7 linked regions of the Nothobranchius furzeri genome follow. The protein of the gene in region 7 interacts with the protein of the main gene of each other region in a pairwise test. Links are inferred from orthologs where the notes say so. Each region holds a gene or a part of one and is shown on either strand. Other genes may lie near its edges. The genes, in order: ccdc88ab, cep63, tubulin beta-2A chain, rabenosyn-5, tnika, traf3ip1 and disc1.

Region 1 (4,073 bases), about 24 Mb from region 7:
CAATTCAAAACAGTGAAACTATATTAAAACTGTAATTTTCCCAGGCGGTCATTTTCTGACCTAAATTTTTTTTTATGTATTTTTGTCTCAGAATTGACACACAGCAACCGATTGTGGGTAATACAAGTCTTCATCAGTGCAGACTTTAACAAAGTGCAGAGCAAAGCTGCATAAAGGGGTGGGGCCAAGATCCACTGTGGAGAATTAGGACACCCTTTGCATTTGCACCAGGGGCACCAGAGTGGAAGTGTGAGTATTGGGACAGGGTCTTAGCGCCATCACGGTTGCTAGGCAAAAAGACATTATGCTGCAGTGGGGACGGCAATAAATATGAAAGCTAGACCAAATTCACAGCCGCTCAATTCAAGTCTTGGTGATCGAGGAAGGTCTTGACCTATGTGGACTGTGTAGACGAGGACCAACAAGAAGTCTACCCCTGGATTCAATAGTCAGTTGTAGATGCTCATTCACTGATCACTTTTTGTGAGTTTCAATTAAAACCCATCCAGTGAATCATGACATTTTGCTAAAGAACAGACAAAAACATTGTCTGCACTTCACCTGTCAGCAGCAGGGGATGAAAATGTCTCAGCAGCAGATGTAGATGTGTAAACAAATGATATATCCGTCACTGAGACCCATTTCTCATTAAGTGAGAAAACAGACAAAGACCAGTGACACAAACACAAGCTCTGACCAGTACTGTAGTGCTTTGTGTGTGGGAGGGTGGCTGGGCTAGACGACTACCAACAGCTGCCTCAGTCCATAACCAAATGTGCAAGGAAAAAAAATCCACAAACACACATACTCCCACACACACTCAAAAGCCTCGGAGATATCCATGCACAGAAGCACAGTGTTGGCTGTGACTACCAATCCCCAACATCCTGTCAGACAAACCACGGTTCATTTCAGTTCACTTCTAGCCACCTTTTAAGCACCACTGCACATAAGCACAGAGATCCTACAGCGTATCTGGGTAGCACATATTCATTTGTAAACCCCAGACTTGTCTTTTTCATGTCAAAGGTTATTGTCCTTTGGTTTTTCCATCTTGCTTCATTCTCCAACCCTTCCCCCATATCCTTCCAGTTGCTTACCCATTACCCAATGTTCCACTGGGGAAAATGCACTGGAAATACAGTTTTTACTCTTTCACACAGAGTAAACGAGGAAAGCTCTAAACCTAAAAACTGCTTTCCTAAACATGATTCTATTTGGAGCCGGCGAGAGACTAGAAGCACTCAGGAGTAGAACCAAATCACTGGAGAGGGAGATGGAAGAGGTTGTTGAAACTTGAGGCAGCTTATAGCAAACGGACAATCGGAGAGCTCAAAACAAGTGTCCTCTTAATTGTCCTGTCAAGTTATTATTGCTATAAATGTGACTTGTTACAATAATAAGCATGTTTTTTGTACGTAAACTGTTCTCACTCTTTAAAAAGGCATAAGATCAATCAACTATATGTTCTACAAATACATTAGATATGAGGTTGTCTCGGCTCAAACCAATGGGAGGAAACACGAGATGTGCTGCACATAAATCCCTTTTAAACCTATTCATCAGGGAGCAGGCAAAACTGAATGCTCCTTAAACTGGCAAGCAGGGGAAAAGCTGACAGGAGAGTCTGGCATTAGTGGAAATATGGAAAAAAAAATGTATTTTAACAGATCATGCTGGCAGGAAGTGGCAACCTGCAGCCAGACAAAGAAGTAGAAATCTTTCTCCTGTCATGCCACATATAGAAACGGTCTCAGGAAAGAGACAAATTCGACATGCAGTCCTTCACAAATCCAGCACTGTCAGTAGATCTTACAAATAAGCTACATTTTCTTTAATTAGATAAAAATAAAACGTGCTCTTGTTTCCCTGCACCATCCAAGTTAAAATTTTCATGCATGGTGTGTGTGCTGGGAAGAGTGTTTCTCCTTAGGATTAATCAACAACACAGCAGGGTGCAGCTTCAAGGGAATGAGTCTAGTTTTCTGCTGAGGCATGCTGCATCCATGCAGCTGACACCGGTGTACACAAGCTCAAAAGACATCTTAAGTGTTAATATATCTGACCCACTCCCACCAACACAGGGTCCTCTTTGTGAGCAGCCTCCATTCAGCTCAACTGGACAGAGGCTGCTGTCTCGTGTAAGGATGACCATCATTTTAACCCTCCTCCACTATAATAACAATAAAACATGGACTGTAGGTTGTTGCACATCTCTGGTTTGATGTCTGCATGCCCTCAATTGGCTAATTCCGTGCCTCTATGTAGGCCAGCTCAGAGGACTGACCGGTTCGGCTCTCCAACTCTCAGATTTACTTACATCTCCAGCATGAACTCGTTCAGGTAAATCCCATCCACTAATTCCATATATTCCGATAATTTACTGCCATCGCTCACTGTCGACCGCCCGACGGTCTTCACCTGGAAAAAGAAAGGAGTGCGATCAATTAACAGGCGAAATAAGGTGATTGTTTAATGAGTCAACACTCATTAGCATATTTAATTAGGGTGCTTACCCAGCAGACCAGAGGGGTGAGCATGAACTGCTCCAGTAATGGGGTGAAAACCTCGTTCTCCATATTTAACCTTCAGCCGTTTGTTCAAACAAATTGGGATTTTTAAAAAATGATTTAAACTCCTCTCATGTTGATAATTCCACGTTTTAATCCAGGCTTTACTTTACGAGGATTTAAAAAATAATAATAATCACTAATTTTCTCAAACCGACCCAGCTGTTGGAGATGCCGCCGACGAGACTTCTTCCTGGGTGGGAGAAGAAGAAATCACATTTTTGTGCTCAAAAACCGCATTCCCTTAAGGTTTTCTGTTATTTAAGGATCAGTCCGCGTTGCGTTCAATATTTAAACGACGAAAAGAGATGAGAAATAATCCTAATTCGGGTATGTAAAAGAAGGTCCAGCTGCGAGGGAAAAATAAACAGATGTTGCAAATCCAGCTTCGGAAATGATCGGGTTCCACCTCATAGTTTTTTGTTGTTGTTGTTTTTTTAAATAAAGTGACTTCCAGACGCGGATTCCTGGCTGTCTGCGTCCAAACGCCGCACACCACCGAGCTGCTGCTGGAGAGTTGAGAGGATGACTGGAGGACACGTAGAGCCGCGCCTCCCTCCCTGCGCATCTCCCTCCTCCTCCCAAAGAAAAGTAGGGCATTAATCAAAGCGTTCCCTTTCTCCTCTGATTTCCTCTGAGTCATAGAAAAAAGATCTTAGTCAACATGTGAACAAACAAATAAAATAAATTCACTCATGTTTGAGTGCGAGTAATGGAACCACTTTGTCTCAAAAGAAAAGTGAATGAAAACTCCAATCTTGTGATTCATAACCTCAGTGTGTAATACTGACTATTTAAGTGCTTATTTGGTTTAACTTCCACGCAGAAATGCAGGGTAACAGTGCATAAATGCACTTCCTTTGTCTGCCTCTGCAGCATGCATTAGACATCATAATGGAGGTAAAATACTGACACCTGGTGGGTTATGTCACAGATCACTATATAAACATCTAAAAAAAAAAAAAAGGTTGAAAATATTCAGATCCTTAGAAGGGGTCTGTGGGGATGTTGAATAATGCATTTCCTGTTCCAGATGGTTCTTTAACAACCTCAGTTTGGGGAAATAGAGAATGAGGCCCAATCCCAATACTCGCACTGTGCCCTTCTGTGAAGTGTGCTTGGAAGAAGTGCACAGCAAGGCTTCGAGTGTGTGGTGCACAAGTGTGCAAATGATTGCAGAATTTGGACAGGGAGCATTGCGTCATCAACCGTCTGCTGGTCACTGTGCTACTTAAAAAAACTTCATTAACTCATTAACTGCCATTGACGACAAAAGTCATCATTTTAAATCCAACTGCCAGTGACGACTAAAGTCATCATTTGCATTTTTTTACTGTGTGGGCGTAGGAATGAGCCCCCGCAACGTGAAAACAAACATCTCAGCTCGCTGATCTTCATCTGTGTATGTCACACATCACATGATCAGGAATTAGAAAATCCATGTGTTAGGAGATCTTTTTGGGCCGCTGCTGTAAAGAAAAAGGCACGAACCGTAAAAGCTTC
Region 2 (4,207 bases), on a different chromosome or scaffold from region 7:
CCTCTGAGATGATCCGAGTGAGTTCCGATCTAAAAGTCTGTCGATAGGAAAGATGTCAGAGCTGATGTCAAAGTTCCAACGCTGTCTGTCTTTCAATCAAATATCTTCAGTATTAGAAACCGTTTTAAAAGGGAAGAATTTGTTTAGAACCAAATTCTATGTTCATTTCAAATACCATCAAAATGAATCACTTAAATCCTAAAGTTGGATGCTGTTGGTTTTTTTATAAGCTTGAGTGAAACACAAAACAGCCATGGTCAGATAATAGTTTGTAATAAAACAGATTACTTACAGGTGATGTGTGTATCTGCGGTGTTTTCTTTTAGGTTTGTGCAGCTCGGTGTCTGTGCTGTGAATGATGTCAGAGAGCAGCTTGCCTGCCTCCTGCTAGAGCGTCTGTTGCGTTGGTGGGGGCGAAACAGCCAAAAGCCCTCCCATGAACAGCTGGGGATGCAGAGCGGAGGAAACGCTCTTTGTTTAGTTTGAATGAAGGCAGGTGGAGAGATGGGTGAGGAAGGGGGAGTGGTAAAGGAGGGGTTGATGAACGTTCCAAAGTAGGTGATGTGTTTTGCTTTTTCCTTAACCATAACACATCCTGATAAAATGTTTCTCAAAAGACATATAAAGAAAACTTAGCACATCTGGGAATTGAACCCGGAGTCTCTCGCATTCAATATGAGAATCATACCCCTCTACCAACAAAATGCTGATGTGTTAAAGGAACATATGTATATTGTAGGTAATAAATGTTTCATGTTTTCTTGACATTTGTGCTGTTGAAGCATCGGTTCACGATGACACCTTGCTCGCGGGATTGCGGTAAAAACGGAAAAGCTATCATGATATCCCTCTTCCCTAGCCATGGCCAAGCAGATAATTTATACAACACTCACGCAGCGACACAGCGACCAATATGTTCGGACAGCAGACCGCCGAATTTTCAAATCACATTCTAAATGACCATGCTAAAAATTATGGGCTCGTCCGGGATTTGAACCCGGGACCTCTCGCACCCGAAGCGAGAATCATACCCCTAGACCAACGAGCCACGTGTCCGGGAAAGACACATAAAATAATTTAAAGTTAATTTAAAGTGATATGTAGTTTTTCTGTAAATGTACTGTTTTAAAAGTATTATTGTATTTTTACACACTATAATAGAATGTCTAATTTCATGGAATTTCAGACGTACCTTCACGTTACACGACATCTGAATCTTAAGCCGTGAGATTAATGTGTTTGTTTTTTCTTTAATTTTCCCTCCCAAACCTTATTTTTAAAGTCGAAGACCAAATAATAAATTACATTTTTTAAAATGTTGCCTACGTAAAACGTAATGAGGTCACAGTTAGAAGGCGGATGTACCGCCTTGGAACCGGAAATTCTTTGTAAAGAAAAGCAGTTGAACGCCGAATAGTGTTGTTGACGTAGCGATGTCATCAAACTTGTTTATACTCTACAACGTGCCGGTCTTAGCTTGTAAGGACAATCTGGATAGAGTCCACCGTGTTGTAGCACCTTAGCGCGCAGAGGGGACAGACGGCGCCATTTTTGAACGAGATGGAGGTTTCTTTGGAATCAATACAGAATCCTGATATAAGGTAACAGACGTTTGGTTTGTCGTGAGGCTAAGTCAGCCATCTTTAGATGCGTGTTTACACAAATGAAGTTGATAACACGCTTTAATCTTCTGCTACGCAGCTCTGTCCTGTCCTCATGCGAGCCTGAGCTGCAGGAGCTGATGAGACAGATTGACATTATGATCAATCATCAGAAGAGGGAGTGGGAGGCTGAGCTCCACGCTCTGCAGCTCAGGGTCACCAGTGGAGAAGAAGAGCTTTTAACCTCCAAGACTACCATTGAACGGAGGGATCTGGAGGTGAAGTGACGATTCATCCTTTTTTGCTCAAAAGAATCACAAAAGTAATTTAATCAACACAGAAGCTTGTAATAAAAAAGCAAGCATGCCCTTATTTTGACATGCAGCATTTTGAAGGTAACATTTTTCCATCCCATTTCCAATTCCAAACATGGACTCTCCTGCTAAAACAGTTTTTATGGCCACTGTCTCCATTTCTGGCCTCACCTAATGTTGGAGACTTACTAAATTATTCCTTAAATGATCAGAAAGCCTCTGCTATGAAGATTCGTTGTACTCTCAAAACAAAACCTCCTGCAGATTCAATTAAATGTTTCAAAAATAAATGTAAATGTGTGAGGATGTTGGTTTTAGGACATGTTTTAAACCGTAAGGAAGGAGACAGTAAATAGTTGTGGCATGAAGCATTTTATCTCTATTCCCATAATAACACCATCACCTATTCAATCAATCAATCAAACTTTATTTCAGACAAGGGATATGTCCATAACAAGAATAAAAAAAATAAAAAATAAATAAAAAAATAAAATACAAACACATTCTAATTACAAACCATATAGGCAGTTGCTCCAATGTTTAAAAAGGACTGAGGAGTACCTCGTGTCACTGTAAGATAAAGATGACAGAGCTCTAACAACCGCGTTAGCTGACAAACTCAGTCGGCAGATGAATTTGTACATGAAGAGCCTCAGAAGCGCATGAAAAGTTGGGATGTTACTCGTAACAAACATGTGACTTGCCGAAGTCCATCTAGGGAGCTTCATGAGGATTCTAAAAGCATCCTGATAAGCCACTTGAAGCTTCTTCATTACTACCTTACTATAGTTGCACCACAAGTGGGCGGTATAGAGAGGAGTACAAAAGGAACGAAAGAGGGACACTTTTACAGGATCTGAGCACATGCCAAAGTTACGTGCCAGAGTGTTAGCCTGCATGTACAGCTTACCACACTGCCTCTTAATGTCCTCGTCATCACAGAGGTCACTTCTTAAAATGTGCCCCAAATATTTTACTTTGCTTACCACTTCCAGGACCTGATTTGTTAAGTTAAAAGATGGAAAATTAAGCTTCAGGTCCCCTTTAGTAGCAGCAATCATAACCACACTCTTTTTAGGGTTAAACAGGATGTCAAATTGCTCACCATACTTAGCACATGCCCTGAGCAGCTGCTGCAGGCCTGCGCTATAGGGAGACATGAGGACTAGGTCATCTGCATATATTAAATGATTTACCAGTCGGTCACCCACCAAGCATCCAGTCTTACTAGCATTCAGAGTAACAGACAACTCGTCAAGGTACAGGTTAAAAAGGACAGGTGACAGAATCCCGCCTTGTCTGACTCCATTTGATACGGAGAAAGGTTCAGACACTTCTGTCCCCCACTTTACCTGCATCAGTTGATGAGAGTACCAGAAGTGCAAAATCCTAACTAGGTAAGAAGGGACCCCTCTGTTTTGTAGCTTGATGAATAATTTCTGATGATTGACTCTGTCAAAGGCCTTAGAGGCATCTAAAAAACACATAAAAACAGAAGTATTATGCCTCATGTATTTGTTGCAGATTGGACTTCTTCACAAGCAGCTTGAAGCCGTTCAGACGGATCGGCAAGAGTTGGTATCCAAGTACGAACAACAACTAAAGAGACTCCGTGAAGAGGTGTGATCATCTGTTTTTCCTCAAATGCACTCAGCTATATCGCTTGTATCATGTTTATTGTTAACATCGTTTCTTATAGTTGGACAAGTTGAAGAGAAGTTACCAGAAGCTTCATCGCAAACAGCTTAAGGAGACAAGTGGAGGTGGAAAGGAGACTGAGCTTGCAAAGGTGAACTAATAGATTTTCCTGGCATTTCCATCTCCTGGAATTTGATTAATCGTTCTTACATTGGTGCAGAAGCATCAGCAGCGCTCTGAGCAGCAGCGAACTCGGTACCAAAACCAGCTGACCACACTGGAGCTCCAGAATAAAAGCCTGAACCAGGAGCTTGCTCACTTAAAGGTTAAAAAGCACATTTATGACTTTCACTCAGGAAGCCAGACATATTTAGTGTATAAAAGTGTGGAAGACTGCTGCATTGTTGTTGCATTTCAGTAATATTTGTTTTTCCAGAGCCAATGGGCATCGGGGCGGGTGGAGAGGGAACACAAGGAGTGCTGTTCAGAGGTGCAGCATCTGCGTGCACAGCTGGAGAAGGCTCAGGCCAGCCTGCACTCACAGGAACTGGAACTGGATCGCCTCAGACCGCTGGAGGTGCTGTTGGGACAGTCCCAGAGAGAGCAGCAGGTTAGCAGGGCGACAGGAACATGTGAGATGTGTGGCTTCTCAGC
Region 3 (4,198 bases), on a different chromosome or scaffold from region 7:
AAAAACAATAAAAAAAGGGAAAATCATTTGGGATTTAGTAGTTTATCTAAAAGGTAGTGACTCGTTCTCTTCTGCAACAGAATCCCGTGACAGGGAGGATGTTAGTGCTGGATTTCGTAAGGAATCAGTCAAATGAGCGTGCTATTGCAAGTGTTAGTGTTTGTCTCAGTGTGTGTACGTGAGCATTGAAGCTGTGTTTGTTCAACACCTCGTGCAAGATCTGTGACCAAGCACACATTTAGTGTCTCCTCTGAGAACTGTTACTTCACCTTCTGCCACACAGCTATTTCAGCGCTGGAGGGGCCACATCTCATCCATGCTCTCAATTTAGATATAAAAATTTTTCATAAATGCTACATTACCACCAGCGACAGGGTAGATTGACAGACATTTGTGTTTTGCGGAGGGGAAAGACAAGTTGAGGGTTTAAAAAAATGAAGGATCAGAAATCCTAGCACAGACTGGTGGAGCTAGTTTTGGAGAGGAGGCAGAAACGCTGCACACATTTCAGGTTTTGCTTTCTCTCAGCCGTGCAGATTTGAATGAATGTAACAACCATGGATTGTACACTTGTTTGGTTTCATTTTGTTATTTTAACAGGCATATTGCACTTGTATATAAGCCATACCTGTTGTTAAAATAAACCATTATTTATTGATGAAGCTGGCTCTGAGGGATCTGTTGAATATTTAGCCGTTTTTTTTTCTTTTGAGATATTAAAGATCTTGATCTCATGAAAAATAAGTATTTTTCTTGTAAATTATTGCATTTGCAGCTAAGAACTGATTATCAACCAAGCAGAGCAGAAAATGATCAAATATATTCAAAATCAGCTCATTGCTGTACCAGATGGACCTATTGAGTGAAGACGAGTGATGTTTTTTGTTCATATGTCACTGAATTTATCACAGAACCAATTAAACAAAGGGGCTAACAAATGTCCAGACTCTGATACTTTATTGTTTTTGGTCTTTTATTTGGGCAAAAAGCAAATATTTAAATGCAAAAATTTATTTTTGAGTAAATACAAAAATAAAACAATGCAGGCAAGTCAGACTACAAACTTTGTGCCAGAAAGCTGCAAAAATTGTTGAATAATAAATAAAATCCGTCGTTATTTGTGGAGATTACATGTTTTGTGATGATTTTTGTTTAGACATGTTAATGAAAATGTATTTATTTGCTTGTGTCATCATCCAGACTGATTTGTTTGACATTGTACTGATCATGTGCAGAACAGTCTCGATCCTGCAAAAAGAGGCGAAATTTTCCATGTTTGGGACAGGGTGGTGTCACGGGGTGCAGGGGTGGGTGGGTGATGCGGCAGGATCCTCCGCTATACTGCATCAAACCGGACAGCTCCTATTGGCTGGAGCGGATGCTGCGACGCGCTTCGCGTCATCCGATCAGCAGTGCGTCCATCCTGCTATTTCATCGGCACTCCACTGAAATTAAACAAGTGCTGAATCTGAGAGAGACAACAACAAACCGACGGAACGAGAAAAGGAAGCACCGAGTCCGCATCTGCAGCTCAGCATGAGGGAAATCGTTCACATCCAGGCTGGACAGTGTGGAAATCAGATCGGGGCGAAGGTAGATTATTATTATGATTACTATTCTTTATATGGGGTAAAACTGCGTGTTTGACTTTATTAACAGTTGACAAAGTCAAGTCGTTAAAATCATTAAAAAAAAGTTTAAAACTGCTGAAGCAGCTGTGTTGAAGGGTGGGGTTCAGTTCGTCTGGTCCAGCGGCTGCAGCGGTGTGGCCCCCAGCTGAGTCCAAAAGCTGACGCACATGCTCCAACATCGTTTTCTGATCGTGCATGTTCTTTAAATCGCTCCCAAACAGACAATCCTACACATATTTGTCTCATGTTAGTTCTGGGAGGTGATAAGCGATGAACACGGCATTGACCCTACCGGCAGCTACCAAGGTGACAGTGATCTGCAGCTGGAGAGGATAAACGTCTACTACAATGAGGCGTCAGGTAACAAAGCCTGTTTTGCATCCAACACTGTTGACACGATCATTGCATGCTTTTAGCTGCACATAACTCGGATAAATACAACATTTCCATATTTTAGTTGAGCAATATTTTAAAAAATGGTAAAAATAGGACAATGAGCTTGCTAAAATCTCTCTCTCTCTCTCTCTCTCTCTCTCTCTCTCTCTCTCTCTCTCTCTCTCTCTCTCTCTCTCTCTCTCTCTCTCTCTCTCTCTTTAGGGAGCACAGGTATCTGCAGTCTCTGCTGACTTCAAGCAATTTTCCTCAAGTATCTTTGGATGTGCATGGCATGTTTAGTTCCAAATGCATCTTTCTTTTATGTTCTGCTTCTAATTGGAGATTGAAGTTGCAATTTTTGGTTTTCATAATTCAGGATTTAGACAAATCAAACATCTCATTTACGCCTTGCAATGAAATTAAACACAGCTGTCTTGTTTATCCTTGGCGTGCATGCTGATCCGTTTGTTTTGAACGCATGGGGAAAAGAGCATATAAATGCCTAAAATAAGATAGATTATTAGGGTTTTGCAACATTTAGTTCAGCAGTGAAGAGGACTGCTGAACGTTTGTCTGAATTCACTCTGCAGAGATCAGCACATTGAAAAGCCCCCTGGTCCTGAAGAAGCAGCACAGCATGCTGCAGCAATTTGCTTGCAAGAAGTGACAGCCCCACTGAATCAAGAAGATAAAAGTTATTAAAAAAATAAACTGTCTTGACAGGATTTACTTTTAAAATGCAATGCAAGAAAATGAAATAAATAAATGCATTCATAATTTTTCTTCTCTTTTCTGTAAAGGCAGCAAATATGTCCCACGTGCCATCCTGCTGGATCTGGAGCCTGGGACCATGGATTCTGTACGCTCTGGGCCATTTGGACAACTCTTCAGACCTGACAACTTTGTCTTTGGTGAGGGAGGGTGGGGGTGGGGGGTTAATCTAAATGCAATCACTCATCTTGAACCGGCTGCACATGCAGCATTAAGTCAGCAGCTGCTGTCACATCCTGTAAATCAGTTCCTTAGATTCACCAGACAGCCCCACACATCTCTGTAATGTAATAATACACCGCTTCTGAAGCATCTAACTAATATGTCACTATTATGGGATGCTCTGTCTACAGGCAGCAGCTCTGACTCTGATGTGCCTGGAGACCTTAATAAATATAATCTCCCCTCCAGAAAACATGAATGTATGATTTGTGTAGAAACACGCTGAAAGTAAATGTAGCCAAGTTGGCCAAGAAGTTAGTTCCTCTGCCTAATTTCTTTAGGTGTCAACAATTAAGTAATAAATCATCGGAACCAGCAAATAATGCAATTGCCAAATAATTTTCAAATATAGCAATAAAAAATTATGACATGTGTAAAGTAATTTTTTTGCTCACAGTGACGAGACTTTGCTGTTCTTCTTGTGTTTTGAACACAGCGAAGGTGTTTTCATATAGTAACATGCTAATGTACGATTTGTAATCATAACTTCAGTCCCAAATGGACATGTTTTTGACCCAGGATTAACATTAAATATAATGTTAGCTTCATCTGTGTTGTTCTGTGTTGACATACAAGCTACAACAATGGAACGCATTTCAATTACAGGATAAACACAGCATTATGTAGATCATTTGCACTTGAACATCATATCAAAGATCAATTACAGTCAAAGACAAATTTTAAAATCATGTTTTGAACAAACAGTCTGAATAACCGTTAAAGCTAGCTCTAATGCTACTCCCAAAAACCAGGGTTCAAATTACGGGGGAGCCACGGGGAGCAAGGCTCCCCCAAAAGGGTGATGGGCTGCCCCAGAAGGCCTCAACAACACACCCAGGGGAGCTTGTAAGTATTTGGAGCCCTGCCGGAAATTAATGAGAGGGTTAATATTTCATACCAAAAATGGATTTGATCAGACAATAATCATATATCAGATCCTTAAAACACAAATATTTGTACAACCACAGCATCTATATCCTGTAACTATGCAGAATTATACAGACAGTCCAAATAAATGCACTTTCCCACATGTTATGGGGATATGACCTCACCTGTTTAGGTCGTTCTAATACCAGTGCTGAGCCCAAGGAAAACTGGTCATCCAGGTCTGGAGTCAATGTGGCAATTACAGAACACATTGCATTGCTTTTTGCTGCTTTTATTTTCTGCTTCTTAATCATCAAGCATTACTTAATTTT
Region 4 (2,260 bases), on a different chromosome or scaffold from region 7:
TTCTGGAGGAGAAGGACGATGAGAAGATCCGCTGCTGTCACCACTGCATGGACACGCTGCTGAAGAGACAGCAGAAGTTGGATGAGAAGGATCACGTTCCAGATGTAGTGAAACTTTATGAGGTTGGTCTAACAGTCCCAGAAAACTTCCCTTCAGCTACAGTTCTGTTCTTTTTGTTTACACTGCTGTATCCTTCCTGCCACTTCCTGTTTACTTTCTGGGCTTTCCTGCCAGAGACTCAGGATGTGCATGGAGAAGGTGGAAGAAAAAGCTCCAGAGTATATTCGAATGGCTGAGTCTCTCAAGTAGGCACTATTAAAAAGTATTGATGTAACCATTTCACATTTGTTTTCATTTTAATCTGACAATGTTTTACTTCTTCCTGCCAAAGTGCCGGAGAAACCACCTACAATCTTGACACGGCAGGTGGACTGAGGCTGGAAGTCCAGAAGTACTATGAACTAATTGATGCTCTAAGGTACACATACGCTGTCACTAATACTTCAAAGTGAAACACAGCTGTCTAAGTTTAAGAGTTCAACAGAAATCTTTGGTTTTAATTTCCCCAGCAAGAAGATTTTAACACTAGGAGTTAAAAACAACCCACCGTCGCCCCCGAAAGCACTCCAGCTTCAGAGGATGATACGATACATGGCAACACTCTTTGTCCAGGTGAGACCAAGTGAAGACAGTTGATGGCTTAAACACAAAAAAGCCAAACTGAAGTTTTAGCCAAAGAGGACATGTAAGAGCTGGGAATCGTGGCTTAGTTCAGAAGTTTATCAAAATGTGTTTGATATGTTTGATACAATCTGCCAACCCAATGGATTTGTAGCTACCATCTGGGAAAATGGAGCAAAAGTCCAGTTATGTCAGTAATCCAACTTATGTTTATGTATTTAGCAGACGCTTTTGTCCAAAGCGACTTACAAGTGATAATCGGCATTTTGCCTTGAGGCTAACAACAATAACAACAACAACATTGACATCAGTCATGGAGAGTAGGGAACAAAGGAGTGGACAGTAGAGAGGGGGAACGGGTGCAGGCAAGGTGCTAGTTAAGAAGATGCTCTCTGAAGAGCAGGGTCTTCAGGAGTTTCTTGAAAATTGAAAAGGAAGCCCCTGTTCTGGTAGTGCTTGGAAGGTCATTCCACATTTGTGGAACGATGCATGAGAAGAGTGGATTGTCCTGAGCGTGGTGTAGGCACTGCTAGCCGACGACCCTGTGATGACCGGAGCGGCCGGGCCGAGACGTAAGCCTTTGCAAGAGGATTCAGGTAGATGGGAGCCGTACATCTCGGACTTTGTATGCTAGTGTTAGCAATTTGAATTTGATGCGTGCTGCTAGCGGTAGCCAGTGGAGCTCAATGAACAGAGGGGTGACGTGTGCTCTTTTGGCTGATTGAAGACCACACATGCCACTGCGTTCTGGACCATTTGAAGAGGTCTCACAGTACAGCCTGGAAGACCAGTTAGACTGAAAGACCATCTAAAGGCTCAGGAACCCTTTGCATGTATTTTGGATTCATTAGATGATTAGAGTGTGACACTCTGAGTCTAGAATATTGACTCTTTTTGACTTTTCACATTATTTTAATCATCTGAGATGTTGAATGTGTAGTTTTCATAAGCTGCACTCCATTATCACCATAGTTACAACAAATAAAGGCTGAAATATCTGGATTTGCATGTAAGGAGTCTATCCCACTTATTAAATAAATAAATTAACTTTTGCACCGTATTCTAATTTTTGGAGTTTCGCCGGTATGTGTCAGACCCTCCAGGATGCCCCCAGATGCTCTCTAACCAAAGGGGCATTGTTAAGTTGAAATCAGTTAGATAGTTTTACCTGTAATCGGCTCAGTGCTAGGTAAGTGGGTTGGATGTCTTTGCTAGTTATTGTGGGGTTGTGAAAGATCTGCCTCACATGTAGTAGAAGTGAGGATTATTAGAACTTTTGTTCCCTTTTTTGTGTCTTCTCTGTTTTAGGAGAAGCTGCTGGGCCTGATGTCTTTACCCACTAAAGAGAAGTACGAAGAGCTGAAAGACAAGAGGAAGCAAGAGCAAGAAAGGAGGCTCCAGCTAGAGCGACTGGTGAGAATAAGTTCCAGTCTGATGTTTTTTCGCTGGACAAACTCGTTTCTAAATCTGGACTTTTATCTCTTGCTCAGCAGGGAGCTCAGGAGTCTCTAAAGAGGAGACAGGAGTCTGAGAAAAACCGTCCACCAGCCAATGGGGAGCTGCTACGGGCCCCTCGAGA
Region 5 (3,934 bases), on a different chromosome or scaffold from region 7:
TTGACGTGCAATATGCGTCATCAAGTGTCAAAGACTGACTGACTCAAAACTATTTCATGAAGAAAGAAAAAGACTGAAATATTACTGATGCAGCACCTTCAGATTTTAAAATAGCCAAAAAGAGGAATGGTTGGAAGAAAATAAAGATGGAAGAAATACTGTTCCAGAGTGGGGGGGCTACTTCTCTGAACTGACGCGAAGAGGTGAAACGTCTTAGGGCAACAAGAGAAGCCCAGAGCACCAGAAATGGAGGCTGCAGCTTTCATCACATACATTCAAACAACATTTGTAATCTTTTCATTCCAAAGTACTTTTGAATTTAGATTAAATTCCATTCATTCACTCTAGTTTCCGTACTTTGTGAAAAGGAAATTAAGGAAAATCGAGAACATGGCAGTGAGAGTACAAAAGCGATGATGGGATCTGAACAGGGAGAAGGGAATAGAAAACTCTTAAATCCAGTGGAACAAAGTGCTGTTACAAAAGAAGAAGATGGAGGAAGTCGGTTCCAGTCATTTGAGTAGCGTCTGCATGATCAAACTCACCATAAAATATTTAGTCTCTTCATATATATTTTTCTTCCAAACCGTAAAAGTCTCTCCAGTGTTAACAGAGTTCTTTAATGGCCGCCCTGATTAGTCAGGTTTGTTTTGTTTGATGTGCAGCGAGGCGAGAGGTGGGTTTTCCGACTGTCCGTCGGATGAGTGAGGCAGACCGGATGAGACACATCACCAGTTCATCATAGAGTTCCTGTTGAGTGTCATAAAGAATACTTGGCTGCTGCCGCCAGAACGCACCGATGCAAAAAAAACCTGGAATAAAGAGAACATAAACACAAATGTTTATTTCTGTGGATTTCTGTCATCTATAGTATCAAATATACCCGATCGCTTGTGTCATCAGAACCACCCTCTAGATTCTGTGTTGTAATTACCTTGTCGTTCCGCTCACACAGAAATTTGAGTCTCTGAGCTCGTTTGTGCATGAAGACTCCGTCCAGATGGCCCGTCTCCACAGAACGGATCTCTATGGCTTTCTCACCCCAACCCATTATCTGATTCGAACGGATATAGGCTGGAAAAAAATAGCAGAAATTTGCAGAAATGTTTTTAAAGATGATATAGTTGCAGTTGCAAAGTCACGTCTTTCTGTCATATTTGTGGGGGGAGATCTAAGGTTTCACAGGCATTTTGTTGAGCAACCCCTGTTGTTATTGCACATTACACAATATAAAAAGTATATTACTGAGATAGGTTTGACATCAAACAAGACCTCTGAACTCTGGAAGTCAAGTTCATGAGCCAATATTTTATCTAAAAAATTACATTTTCCATTAACTGTTGAATGGGCTGCGCAATGGTTAGAGCTGTTGCCTTGCAGCAAGAAGGTCCTGGGTTAGCTTCCCGGCCTGGGATCTTTCTGCATGGAGTTTGCATGTTCTCCCTGTGCATGTGTGGGTTCTCTCCGGGTACTCCGGCTTCCTCCCACAGTCCAAAAACATGACTGTTCGGTTGATTGGTCTGTCTAAATTGTCCTTAGGTGAGAGTGTGTGTGTGTGTGCATGATTGTTTGTCCTGTGTGTCTCTGTGTTGCCCTGCGATGGACTGGCACTCTGTCCAGGGTGTACCCTGCCTGATTGCCCATTGACCACTGGAGATAGACACCGGCACCAGCCCCCACCCCCCCTCCCTCCTTTATTGTCTTATTTTGGTGAGCCTGTGATTTGTAGTCTCAGGCCTAGTCCACACGTGGCCGGGTTTTTTTTTTAAAATCCGCCCCTCCAAAAACTTGCAACCACACCACCTCGTTTTTAAAAAAAAAACTCTGTCCACATGTACCCGGATAAATACGTTGTTAAGGACATGCCAGACCCGTAGGCGGCAGTACTTCCCCCATTCTTAACCTCGTCCTTCGTCTGTGGTCTTCCGCAAGGAGCAGTAATTCTGCTTGCAAAAACAAACGAGCAAAAAGTTCTTGGACAGTTGATAAAGCGAGCGCAGCTCTGAGGGCATCCATGCTGTCGGCTAGTGTAAACACAGGTCGCACACGTGATGTCAGCATTGTTTGTCGCGGAAAGTGACGTTGCGGACCTTAAAACTCCGGTTTTGTCCGTCCACACGCAGACACCCAAAACGGAGAAAACGCAGATCTTCACTTTGGCCGGAGTTTTTAAAAAGATCAATTTTCGTGTGAAAAAACTCAGTTTTCGTGTGGATGACAGGCCAAAACGTAGAAAAATATCTACGTTTTGGCAGATCCCCGGCTACGTGTGTACAGGGCCTCAGTCTCCTGTTCTTACCTGACAGGAGTGGCACCGGTGTGATCTTCTGCTGCTGTAGCGCTTCTGCCTCAAGGTTCAATGTGTTGTATGCTCAGAGATGCTCTTGTGCATACCTTGATTGTAACAAGTGGTTATTTGAGTTACTGTTGCCTTTCTATCAGCTTGAACCAGTCTGGCCATTCTCCTCTGGCCTCTGACATCAACAAGGCATTTTCACCCACAGAACTGCTGCTCACTGGATGTTTTCCCTTTTCGGACCATTTTCTGTAAACCCTAGAGATGGTTGTGCGTGACAGTTCCAGAAGATCAGCAGTTTCTGTAATACTCAGACTAGCCCGTTTGGCACAAACAGCCATGCCATGCTCAAAGTCACTTCAATCTTTCTTCCCCATTCTGAAGCTCAGTTTGAACTGCAGCAGATCGTCTTGAATGTCATCATGCCTAAATGCAATACGTTGCCACCATGTGATTGGTTTTTTAGTCATTTGTGTTAACGAGGAGTTGGACAGGTGTACTTAATAAAGTGGCCTGTGAGTGTCCATGCAGCTGCATTTGTCTGCACGTGTAATCCCCCTCCCTGCCAAATGAGGGCAGTAAATCACAGGGAATTTAAAAGGTCCAGAGATGCATAAGTGGCTGTTTCTGCCTACCAAACTCCCCCTTCTTTCCTTTCCACTGGTAAGTCTGATTATTTTATACAACTTTTTTTATTTTTTGTTCTATAATATTCTATAACATTATTTTTTACCTTTGATCTGCAATAATCAAGGCTGCTCTTATTTGTGGGGGCCTTTCAAGTGTGGATGGTGCTATGAAACAAATATAGTATTCCATTAAACCTCTAGTGACTCCTTTAGCACAGGTCTGAGAAAACACAACATCTTTTATCTACAGGAGTGTCACACACACACACAGAGAGAGAGAGAGAGAGAGAGAGAGAGAGAGAGAGAGAGAGAGAGAGAGAGAGAGAGAGAGAGAGAGAGAGAGAGAGAGAGAGAGAGAGAGAGAGAGAGAGAGAGAGAGAGAGAGAGAGAGAGAGAGAGAGAGAGAGAGATTGTCCCTAGCCTAGTTCCTGTTCAGACTCATCTGACGCCTACAACAAACTCAGGATATCTAGTACATCCTCATCACAGGCAGCACCCCCAAGTAATAAATCATTAGAAGGGGCAGCTGAATCTATCCACTAGGAGAACCACCACTCTTTCTGAAGAAGGCAAGACCAAATCAACCCAAATGATTTACATGATTGTCTGTCTAACCTCGAACAGGGGGTCAAACTACCTCTCTCCTGTCCCATGGACTACTTTGGGACTAATTTGTCCTCAACCATCATTTAATTCCTTTCTAGGGCAAATATTGCAGCATGTAAAGCATTTCTTTAATTGTCAGGGTTTTTGTTTTTGTAGTGCTTTTAGTTGAATAAATTGTTATTCGTAGAAGTATTGTCCTTTGTATCACGATTCCTAAAATAATTAATTTATTTGAGGAATCATAGGTGAAAGAAAGTTTGACTTGAACCATCTAATTTAATAGAAAATATGTAAATACATTAGTTAATCTTTAACTAATTAATTGATTAAATTACAAGTAAATAAATTGTTTAAAATGTATCTAATATTTTACATTAAATACCAATGCAACAATGGTGTTTGA
Region 6 (4,251 bases), on a different chromosome or scaffold from region 7:
TTTCTTCTAGGCCCTCTTCATAACTTTTGACCCATTTGATATTATTCCCCCATCCTGAACAGAAAATACATTTAAACATGTCCTGTTTGCTTTTATTGCGCCCTTCACAAGCTGAATTCAAACTCAGGTTGTGTGCTGGGACTAAATCGGTCAATCTGACTGATGAATGATCAGAAACATGGAGGCTGAATGAGAGCGACCCACCTTTTGACAGAGATGGAGCCTTCTCCTTCTTCTTCTGTTCTTCTGCAGCGGCACAAGCGCCGATCAGCAGAGCAAACACAGCCCAGTGAAGCATCTCCTCGTCCTCTGGAGAACCAGACAGCTGAATAAGGCGTGCACTTTTAAAGCACAAAGCATTTTTTGAACTCTTACACCCGCAGAGCTCACTGAAGGGCTTCAGCTCTGAGTCACCAAACAAGTCTGACAGGCCGGCGCGATGATGCCGCGAAGGAAGCTTGTTTTATGTTACTATTATTTTTATATTTTATTTTATTATGGATGACATCATCACAGCTGTTTACTGTAATCAAAATAGGAATGAGTCTTAATGTATTAATGCAGCTTCTTATTTAATCTCAATCCAATGAACTATTGTACCTTTTTTTCTTTTTGAAAGAAACAGCATGTAACTTTGCAAGCCCTTACGTAGCATTAAATGGTTTAAGCATTACATTTCTATTCTGAAGAGCAGCGAACAACTTTCCAGCTGAAACTGAATCTGAATTTTCTGATTTTTGGCTACTGAAGTCACTCGTAGTGGATGTCTTACCTGTCCAGCGTGAAGCAGCAAGCGTCTGTTTGAGCTGTTCTTCTCACCTTACCTTTTGTCAGACTTTTAACCGAACTTGCCAAACGGGTAAAACAAGCATCCTGCTTTAAATGAAACACAAAGAAAGGTCTATGACTTATATGAGACATATTTGCATGCATGGGAAGTTTGGGCACACCTTCATACGATTTCATAATTCATACTTTCATAAATAAAATTCTTTGAAACACTGACTCTAAATGTAGTATTAGTGCTTGTTTAATAAATCCAGTTAGAAAATGCTTCATTAATCCCAGATGGAAATTAAGTGTTGTTGTGAATAAGGAAACAATAATAAAAACAATAAAATTTAGGTATCTATCTATCTATCTATCTATCTATCTATCTATCTATCTATCTATCTATCTATCTATCTATCTATCTATCTATCTATCTATCTATCTATCTATCATCTGTCTGTCTGTCTGTCGGCCTAATCTTTATTTATTTTTGTTCTTGTGAAGCACGTCGTGGTTTTTATCTGGAGATGCGCTGTATACACGATCGTTTTCCTTATTTCGTTTCTTTCTACATAGCTAGCTACCGTTGCTATGGACACAGAACACCTAGCAACCGAAAGCCTATGGCGCATGCGCAGCTTTCGTTCGCGGTGCACTGTGGGATTGTTGGATATTGACATAGCAACGGAGCCCCAGAGCCGCCTAGCATTCGTGTTTTAGACCAGTTTTCGCCCCTTTTCTAGCAGCTAAATTGTTCAGTTGGGATTTCATCTGCCGCCATGAACGCAGCGGTGGTGAAGAGGACTCAGGACACGCTGGGGAAAGTCATAAAGAAGCCGCCGTTAACGGAAAAACTGCTAAACAAACCGCCGTTTCGTTACCTTCACGACATCATCAGTGAGGTGAGACCGACTAAGGACAACAGTTACGTTTAAAGACATTTTATAAAGTTAAAAACTGTATATGAAGCCCTTGCGTGTGCTTTATTATCTGTGTCCATGAAAGGGATAGCTCTAACCGGACAACCCTCACCAGGAGCGAGTTAGCTTAACCGCAGCTGTTCAAAAGCGGTATCACTGCATTTCTCCTCTTCAGCACCCAGAGCGAACACGCGTTAAAGACAAGCAGCTGCTAACGTTCATTATTATGACTGTACATGTTTAGGTTGTACTTGCTTCACACCTGCTGCCGAGCAGCTGACCACAGCTGTCTTGTTGGATGCATAAGTTCTGCCTTTTTGTATTTAATGTACAGCAACATTTGATCGACATCTAGATGTTAGATGTTTACAAACGTAGGATTCACCAGTGTAAGTCGTAGGTCTGGATAAATATTAAAATTTGTATTTTATTTGTAGTATCAGCTCCAAATAATGACAGTGTAAATGTCAAAAAGTATTATTATTTCAATGATTGTCCCTTCTTAAGACAAAACTTACTCTTGTCTAAGTAGAAATGGCAGAACGAGGGTAAAACACAAAGGCAACATATTTTGTACATCAAACATTTTCCTGTTATCTTCTGGCAACTGACGTTTTCTGAATAAGGAAAATTTAGAATATTTAAGATTTTAAATAACCAAAAACCGGTTTAAAATACTATTTATTTGAATAATGTATCTACACAAGAATTAGAATCATAATATATTGTAGAGTGCAGTCTGTCGTACTGTTTGTGTTTGGGGCATCATTAGATGCTCTTATTTTGATGAGCCACTCTGCTGTTTTCCTGATTTATTTTTGACTGACGAGCATTTCCTAACTGAATGAGTATTTGTGCAGAAAAAGTGTGTTTTCATTATTTACCTAAATTATTTAGGTTATTATTCTTCCCATAACTGAGCATCTGTGTGTGTGATGTGTGTAGAACAATATGACGTCAGCTTCTTGTGTTAAACCCTTTTTCTGCTCATGTTTGTGTAAAAAATAAAATCGTACATTTGTGTTTGTGTACATGCTTAAGAAAGCAGAACGGGTATTCACAAACAGGATATATTAGCAAAATGTATATAACTGCATGAACTAAATAATACATAATATATAATGTAATTTTAAAAATATTTTCTTTAAAAGCATGTTTTTTTTACAATTAAACTCATATTTTAACTCTTTTCTTTAACAGATTAGAGACTAAATCTATTTTCTAAACAGAACTGAGATCTTATTCTCTCACCACACTGGTTGGATGGTTTTATGTTTCACTCTAGCTTTATTTATAATTAATTGAGGTTAGCATTCCTATAGCAATATTCTTTTATCTGACTAAAGGAATTCAGTTGTTTAAGACATACTTGATTGAAAATTAAAACATTTTGCAGCCATAAGTCTGCTTTAAGCTTGCTTCCATAAAATCAAAAACATTTTGTGTTAACTTGTATTAGAATGATGTAGGTTTTGCAGAAGCACCTATAATATTTGTATAATAACAGTAAACCTTTATTTTCCTCTTGACTCTAAGGTAATCAGGAGCACTGGTTTTTTGAAAGGCCTCTATGGAGAAAATGAAATGAAGTCAGATAGTGTAAAGGTAAGCTTACTCTTGCTATATTTACTTGATTTTTGACCTTTTTTTCCCCTGAAAAGACTAATTTGTTCAGGATTACCCCCGTGTGTTTTCACTGGGCAGCCTGAGTCACCAGATACGCCGTCTGGCAACACTGTGAGCTAGAAGATCTGGCAGGCAGAGACTGAGTGTTTGTCGAGGTGTCAGAATGCTAGTCTGCTATTTGCAAGGCGATCCTTGATTAGGACTGAATGAAAGAGAGCTACACCGAGTCTTCTCTGCTTACAAACGTAGCTGCACGCTGCCCGTTTCTTACTAGTGAGAGAAATGAGTTGTTAGTGTTGTGTTTTACATTTCCTCCCTCGAACAACGAGGTAACAAGCGGTTAAACCCAGTCACTCTGGGGGTAAGATTCATATTTCAGTTTCATCACTTCAGCTGTCAGGAGTGCAGAGAAGTCAGTTTGACCAACAAGTCCTCCTGGTCTTTGGTTTATCAGTTTACTGACCTGCTTTTGCACAAAACAAATGATGTCATCATTTCTTTTTGGTATGGAACCAATTTTATTTAGATTTTGCCTTTAATCAGTTTATATTTTAAATGTTTTTGTCTCGGTAACGGCTTTTTTCATTATATCTCATTCTAGGAAAAGGACTCAAAAATAACCTTTCTTCAGAAAGCGATAGATGTCGTGATGCTGGTGACCGGCGAGCCTCTGGCGGCCAAGCCCGCACGGATCGTTGCCGGCCATGAGCCGGAGAAAACCAACGAGCTGCTTCAGGCCATCGGCAAGTGCTGCCTCAATAAGGTCTGCATCACACACACACGCGCGCGCACACACACACGCACGCACACACACACACACACACACACACATGCACTCACACTCACACACACACACACACACACACACACACACACACACACACACACACGCGCGCGCACGCACACACACACACACACACACACACTCACACTC
Region 7 (3,500 bases):
TTTTATTTTACTGCATAAATATTCAACCTGAAAGCCTCAGCTGAGAAACAGGAACCCTCTTGCTGTGAGATGCATGTGGTGTGGTTGAATTACTGACTTGCGCTGACTGCAGTCATTCCTCTGGATGGCGCCGTGCACCACCTGTCTGAGCCTCTCCAGGAACAAAGCCACGCTGGGCTGTCTGGAGGGTAAACCAAGCTTCAGGGCTCCACGCTCTCTACACAGCTCCTCCAGTTTCTTCCCAAAGCGCTCAGCTAAAATAAAACACACACACACACACACACATTGATTGGTACACAAAGCACAAACAGATATTTTACTGTTGTAATCTGCAATCTCTCACATCTGTCGGAAAACAAAGAGTAAATAAATCTGAAGTTCATTTTTACCAAAAAGCAAACTGTAAATTTGATCAGTTGTGCTGTTCTGACCCAGACGTTGCAGCAGATGTATCTGATGTAACTGTTTATGTCACGAGGATCGAGAAATAGGTCACAACACTTTTGAAAATAAACTTCCCTTTGGTCTGGAAGGGAAGCATTTGGGTCAAGCAGAGACGTAAATATCTGAACAGAGAATTGAACTGGATGGTTGTGATGTTTAGTTTAAACAATAAAAACATAAGATGCATAAAATGATCAATTCTAGGGATGCACCGATACCGATATTGGTATCGGTATAAGTTGACCGATACCAGGAACCGATACCAATGCAGTTGCTTGAAAGTGGCTTCGCTGTAACTTGTCATTTCTGTTCACCTAATATATTCGTTTAGTGATCATTTCTATTGATACATTTATTTTTATATATAGAATATTTTATATTTTATTAATTTCATTGCATTTTTTGTGTGGTAAAGTATCGGTATTGGTAATCGGTGAGTACTCAGATCCAAGTATCAGTATCCGTTTGGAAAACTGTGGTATTGTTGCATCCCTAATAAATTCTGTTAATATTTGCATAAAATAAATGTATAAAGAGGCTTAAAATTAAAAGACGAACACTTCCCAAAGTAAAAGGAAGTAGGACAAAATTCCAAAAAGATTCTGCCAAAACTCTGATCCCACATGGCAGTTAGATTCAGTTACTAAGACGGTCTGATAATAGGATTAACTTTCCCAGTTCTGGTTAAAAAACAAACAAAAAAAATACAATTGGGACCTATGTCTGATTTCAATCCTTCTCAGTGTTTACTCAAACCTAAAGAGCTGAAAATATTTCTAACAGTAAAATAACTATTGCATCTGTGTTGTTATTTATATACACATCAGTTACAGAGAAAATATGGAATTAATAACTATTTCATTGTTTCTGATTTCTAGGCTTCATCTCAAACTGTGATGCTAACTTTGGGAGGTGCTGCTCTTGACCTTTATTATGATCAGAAATAGTCATTAAAAATGTTTTTTCAGTGAACCACGCCTTTAATAGTCATGATACACAAACATATACAACCTCTGACTTGCTGACAGCAGAGATGGGAAACAAGTCTTCTCCATGCCGTGATTTTCTTCTGCTCAGCAACCGAACAAGGTTGTTTCGCTGTGCTGATTAAAATCACCTGGTTTAGTTGCCGAACTGAAGAAAAACACGGCATGGAGATGACTTGTTGCTCCCACAACGATTGATGACACAAATCTTACTTTATTAACCCTCCCACTGTCCTAGTGGGTGTGGCCCCGCGGGGTCACACCCACTAGGACAGTGGGAGGGTTATCAAAACTCAGAATAAAATAAAAACACAACTTGGGTGTTTTATCTCCACCAATAACACAAACCTGAAGGTGTTATTTTTTGTTGTGGAGCTTCTAATGCTAATGGTTAGCTTCTACTAGCCAAAACGCGCTCTGCTCTCTCTATGGGCGGTCCCAATCAGAGGTAGGCGGGGACTATGAATACTAGTTTTCCCTGTGACGTAGAAGAGCCAGGCTTTGTTTCTGACCAGACCGTTTTTTCATTCATTTGAAATCTACGGATAATGCAGGTGATGTGGGTTAAAGACAAAAGTTTTCATTCGGCACGCATGCGACCCTCTGAGGGAGGGAGGGATCGACAGTTCTACTCATTACTAGTTTAAAGTTTACCTGCATCGTAATCGTCGTCCAGAATGGCTTTCTGCTGCAGTCGCTGCAGCTTTAACATCATGGACTCAATCTTTGAGAAGAAAAGGTACACACCGTTATGATTATTATAATCAGATCACTAAAGCTTCACATTATAGTTATGATGCATTCCCCAAATGTGTGACTGTGTTTATTATCTAAGCATGAATGAAATCTGCGTCTGAACAGCATGAGCACAGAGATCTACTGAACGTGTATACACACTGTCTGCATTGTTTGCTGCCTCTATATTAGGCTATGTCAGTAAATATTTGCTCTGTTTGTGAGCCACCGCCAGCAGAAGCCAAATTCCTTGTGTGTCTTTCACACTCGGCTCAAAAAAAGTCTGATTCTGACAACAGAACTCTGAGGTTAAAAGGTTGGGGTTAACCCAGATTAAGATTTATGTCTGTAAATGAGTAATCTAATTAAGAGTCACTAACAACCAGAGCCAAATTCATTATGAGTGCTTCACATTTGGTCTGTTGAACCGATCCTAAATCTGATTCTGGATTTAATTCTAACTTTTATTTGCATTCAGATTTGATTTTGTTACTAATTCTGATTCTGATTTAAAGTCTGATTATAATCCCAATACCAGTTTCAATTCTAAAACTGATTCTGATTCTTATTTGGAATATTTGTCTCCTTGCTGAGGAGGTCAATTCTGATTCAAAATCTGATCCTAATCCTGATTCTGGTTCAGATCCTGATTCCAATGAAGACAATAATCTTGATTCTGATCCAGATTAAAGTTTGGATCCTGATTCTGATTCAGATCCTGATTCAAATTAAGATAATAATCCTGATTCTGATCCAAATTAAAGTTCAGATCCTAATTCTGATTCTGATCTCGACTCTTAATCAGATCTTGATTTTGATTCTGATTCCAAACCTGATTCTGATCTTGGTTGTGATTCAGATCCAGATTCTGATTAAGATAATAATCTTGATTCTGATCCAGATTAAAGTTTGGATCCTGACTCTGATCCTGATTCTGATCTTGGTTGTGATTCAGATCCAGATTCTGATTAAGATAATAATCTTGATTCTGATCCAAATTAAAGTTCAGATCCTAATTCTGATCTCGACTTTTATTCAGATCTTGATTTTGATTCTGATTCCAAACCTGATTCTGATCTTGGTTGTGATTCAGATCCTGATTCGAATTAAGATAATAATCTTGATTCTGTTAACTGATCTGATTCTGATCCTGATTTTGATCTGATTAAAAAATCAGATCCTGATCATTATTTTGATTCAGATTCTGCTCTGAACTGATCCTGGTTTTGATCCCACTTCTGATCTTCATTACTGGCCACCTATATGATTGCTAACTCTGTAGCATGAAATGTGTGAATCAAAGAGACACGATGAGTGTCACCCACCTTGGTGTAG

The links.
Region 1: the proteins of disc1 (region 7) and ccdc88ab interact in a two-hybrid assay, tested with the Homo sapiens proteins (2 studies listed by BioGRID and IntAct). The link is inferred for Nothobranchius furzeri from reciprocal best matches to the Homo sapiens genes DISC1 and CCDC88A.
Region 2: the proteins of disc1 (region 7) and cep63 interact in binary tests that used the Homo sapiens proteins (3 or more experiments, as listed by UniProt). The link is inferred for Nothobranchius furzeri from reciprocal best matches to the Homo sapiens genes DISC1 and CEP63.
Region 3: the proteins of disc1 (region 7) and tubulin beta-2A chain interact in a two-hybrid assay, tested with the Homo sapiens proteins (2 studies listed by BioGRID and IntAct). The link is inferred for Nothobranchius furzeri from reciprocal best matches to the Homo sapiens genes DISC1 and TUBB2A.
Region 4: the proteins of disc1 (region 7) and rabenosyn-5 interact in a two-hybrid assay, tested with the Homo sapiens proteins (2 studies listed by BioGRID and IntAct). The link is inferred for Nothobranchius furzeri from reciprocal best matches to the Homo sapiens genes DISC1 and RBSN.
Region 5: the proteins of disc1 (region 7) and tnika interact in binary tests that used the Homo sapiens proteins (3 or more experiments, as listed by UniProt). The link is inferred for Nothobranchius furzeri from reciprocal best matches to the Homo sapiens genes DISC1 and TNIK.
Region 6: the proteins of disc1 (region 7) and traf3ip1 interact in binary tests that used the Homo sapiens proteins (3 or more experiments, as listed by UniProt). The link is inferred for Nothobranchius furzeri from reciprocal best matches to the Homo sapiens genes DISC1 and TRAF3IP1.

The regions. Positions count from the first base shown.
Region 1 is NC_091752.1:26,282,881-26,286,953, reverse strand, and holds the start of ccdc88ab (girdin), read right to left. Parts: upstream 2,801-4,073; 5' UTR 2,580-2,800; coding exon 2,517-2,579; intron 2,422-2,516; coding exon 2,321-2,421; intron 1-2,320. UniProt on the Homo sapiens protein: Bifunctional modulator of guanine nucleotide-binding proteins (G proteins). Acts as a non-receptor guanine nucleotide exchange factor which binds to and activates guanine nucleotide-binding protein G(i) alpha subunits.
Region 2 is NC_091756.1:60,714,983-60,719,189, forward strand, and holds the start of cep63 (centrosomal protein of 63 kDa), read left to right. Parts: upstream 1-1,407; 5' UTR 1,408-1,560; coding exon 1,561-1,601; intron 1,602-1,701; coding exon 1,702-1,879; intron 1,880-3,439; coding exon 3,440-3,535; intron 3,536-3,614; coding exon 3,615-3,704; intron 3,705-3,773; coding exon 3,774-3,878; intron 3,879-3,989; coding exon 3,990-4,163; intron 4,164-4,207. UniProt on the Homo sapiens protein: Required for normal spindle assembly.
Region 3 is NC_091751.1:51,905,167-51,909,364, forward strand, and holds the start of tubulin beta-2A chain, read left to right. Parts: upstream 1-1,398; 5' UTR 1,399-1,536; coding exon 1,537-1,593; intron 1,594-1,882; coding exon 1,883-1,991; intron 1,992-2,806; coding exon 2,807-2,917; intron 2,918-4,198. UniProt on the Homo sapiens protein: Tubulin is the major constituent of microtubules, a cylinder consisting of laterally associated linear protofilaments composed of alpha- and beta-tubulin heterodimers.
Region 4 is NC_091755.1:54,608,129-54,610,388, forward strand, and holds part of rabenosyn-5, read left to right. Parts: coding exon 1-122; intron 123-234; coding exon 235-305; intron 306-391; coding exon 392-478; intron 479-569; coding exon 570-672; intron 673-1,989; coding exon 1,990-2,094; intron 2,095-2,171; coding exon 2,172-2,260. UniProt on the Homo sapiens protein: Rab4/Rab5 effector protein acting in early endocytic membrane fusion and membrane trafficking of recycling endosomes. Required for endosome fusion either homotypically or with clathrin coated vesicles.
Region 5 is NC_091758.1:22,730,007-22,733,940, reverse strand, and holds the end of tnika (TRAF2 and NCK interacting kinase a), read right to left. Parts: intron 1,075-3,934; coding exon 935-1,074; intron 813-934; coding exon 729-812; 3' UTR 501-728; downstream 1-500. UniProt on the Homo sapiens protein: Serine/threonine kinase that acts as an essential activator of the Wnt signaling pathway. Recruited to promoters of Wnt target genes and required to activate their expression. May act by phosphorylating TCF4/TCF7L2.
Region 6 is NC_091754.1:2,499,749-2,503,999, reverse strand, and holds the start of traf3ip1 (TRAF3-interacting protein 1), read left to right. Parts: upstream 1-1,451; 5' UTR 1,452-1,550; coding exon 1,551-1,673; intron 1,674-3,227; coding exon 3,228-3,296; intron 3,297-3,918; coding exon 3,919-4,080; intron 4,081-4,251. Other genes in the region: agr1 (anterior gradient 1), read right to left, coding at 1-54, 205-341, 773-876, 1,356-1,451.
Region 7 is NC_091752.1:2,333,753-2,337,252, reverse strand, and holds part of disc1 (disrupted in schizophrenia 1 protein), read right to left. Parts: coding exon 3,491-3,500; intron 2,155-3,490; coding exon 2,085-2,154; intron 255-2,084; coding exon 98-254; intron 1-97. UniProt on the Homo sapiens protein: Involved in the regulation of multiple aspects of embryonic and adult neurogenesis. Required for neural progenitor proliferation in the ventrical/subventrical zone during embryonic brain development and in the adult dentate gyrus of the hippocampus.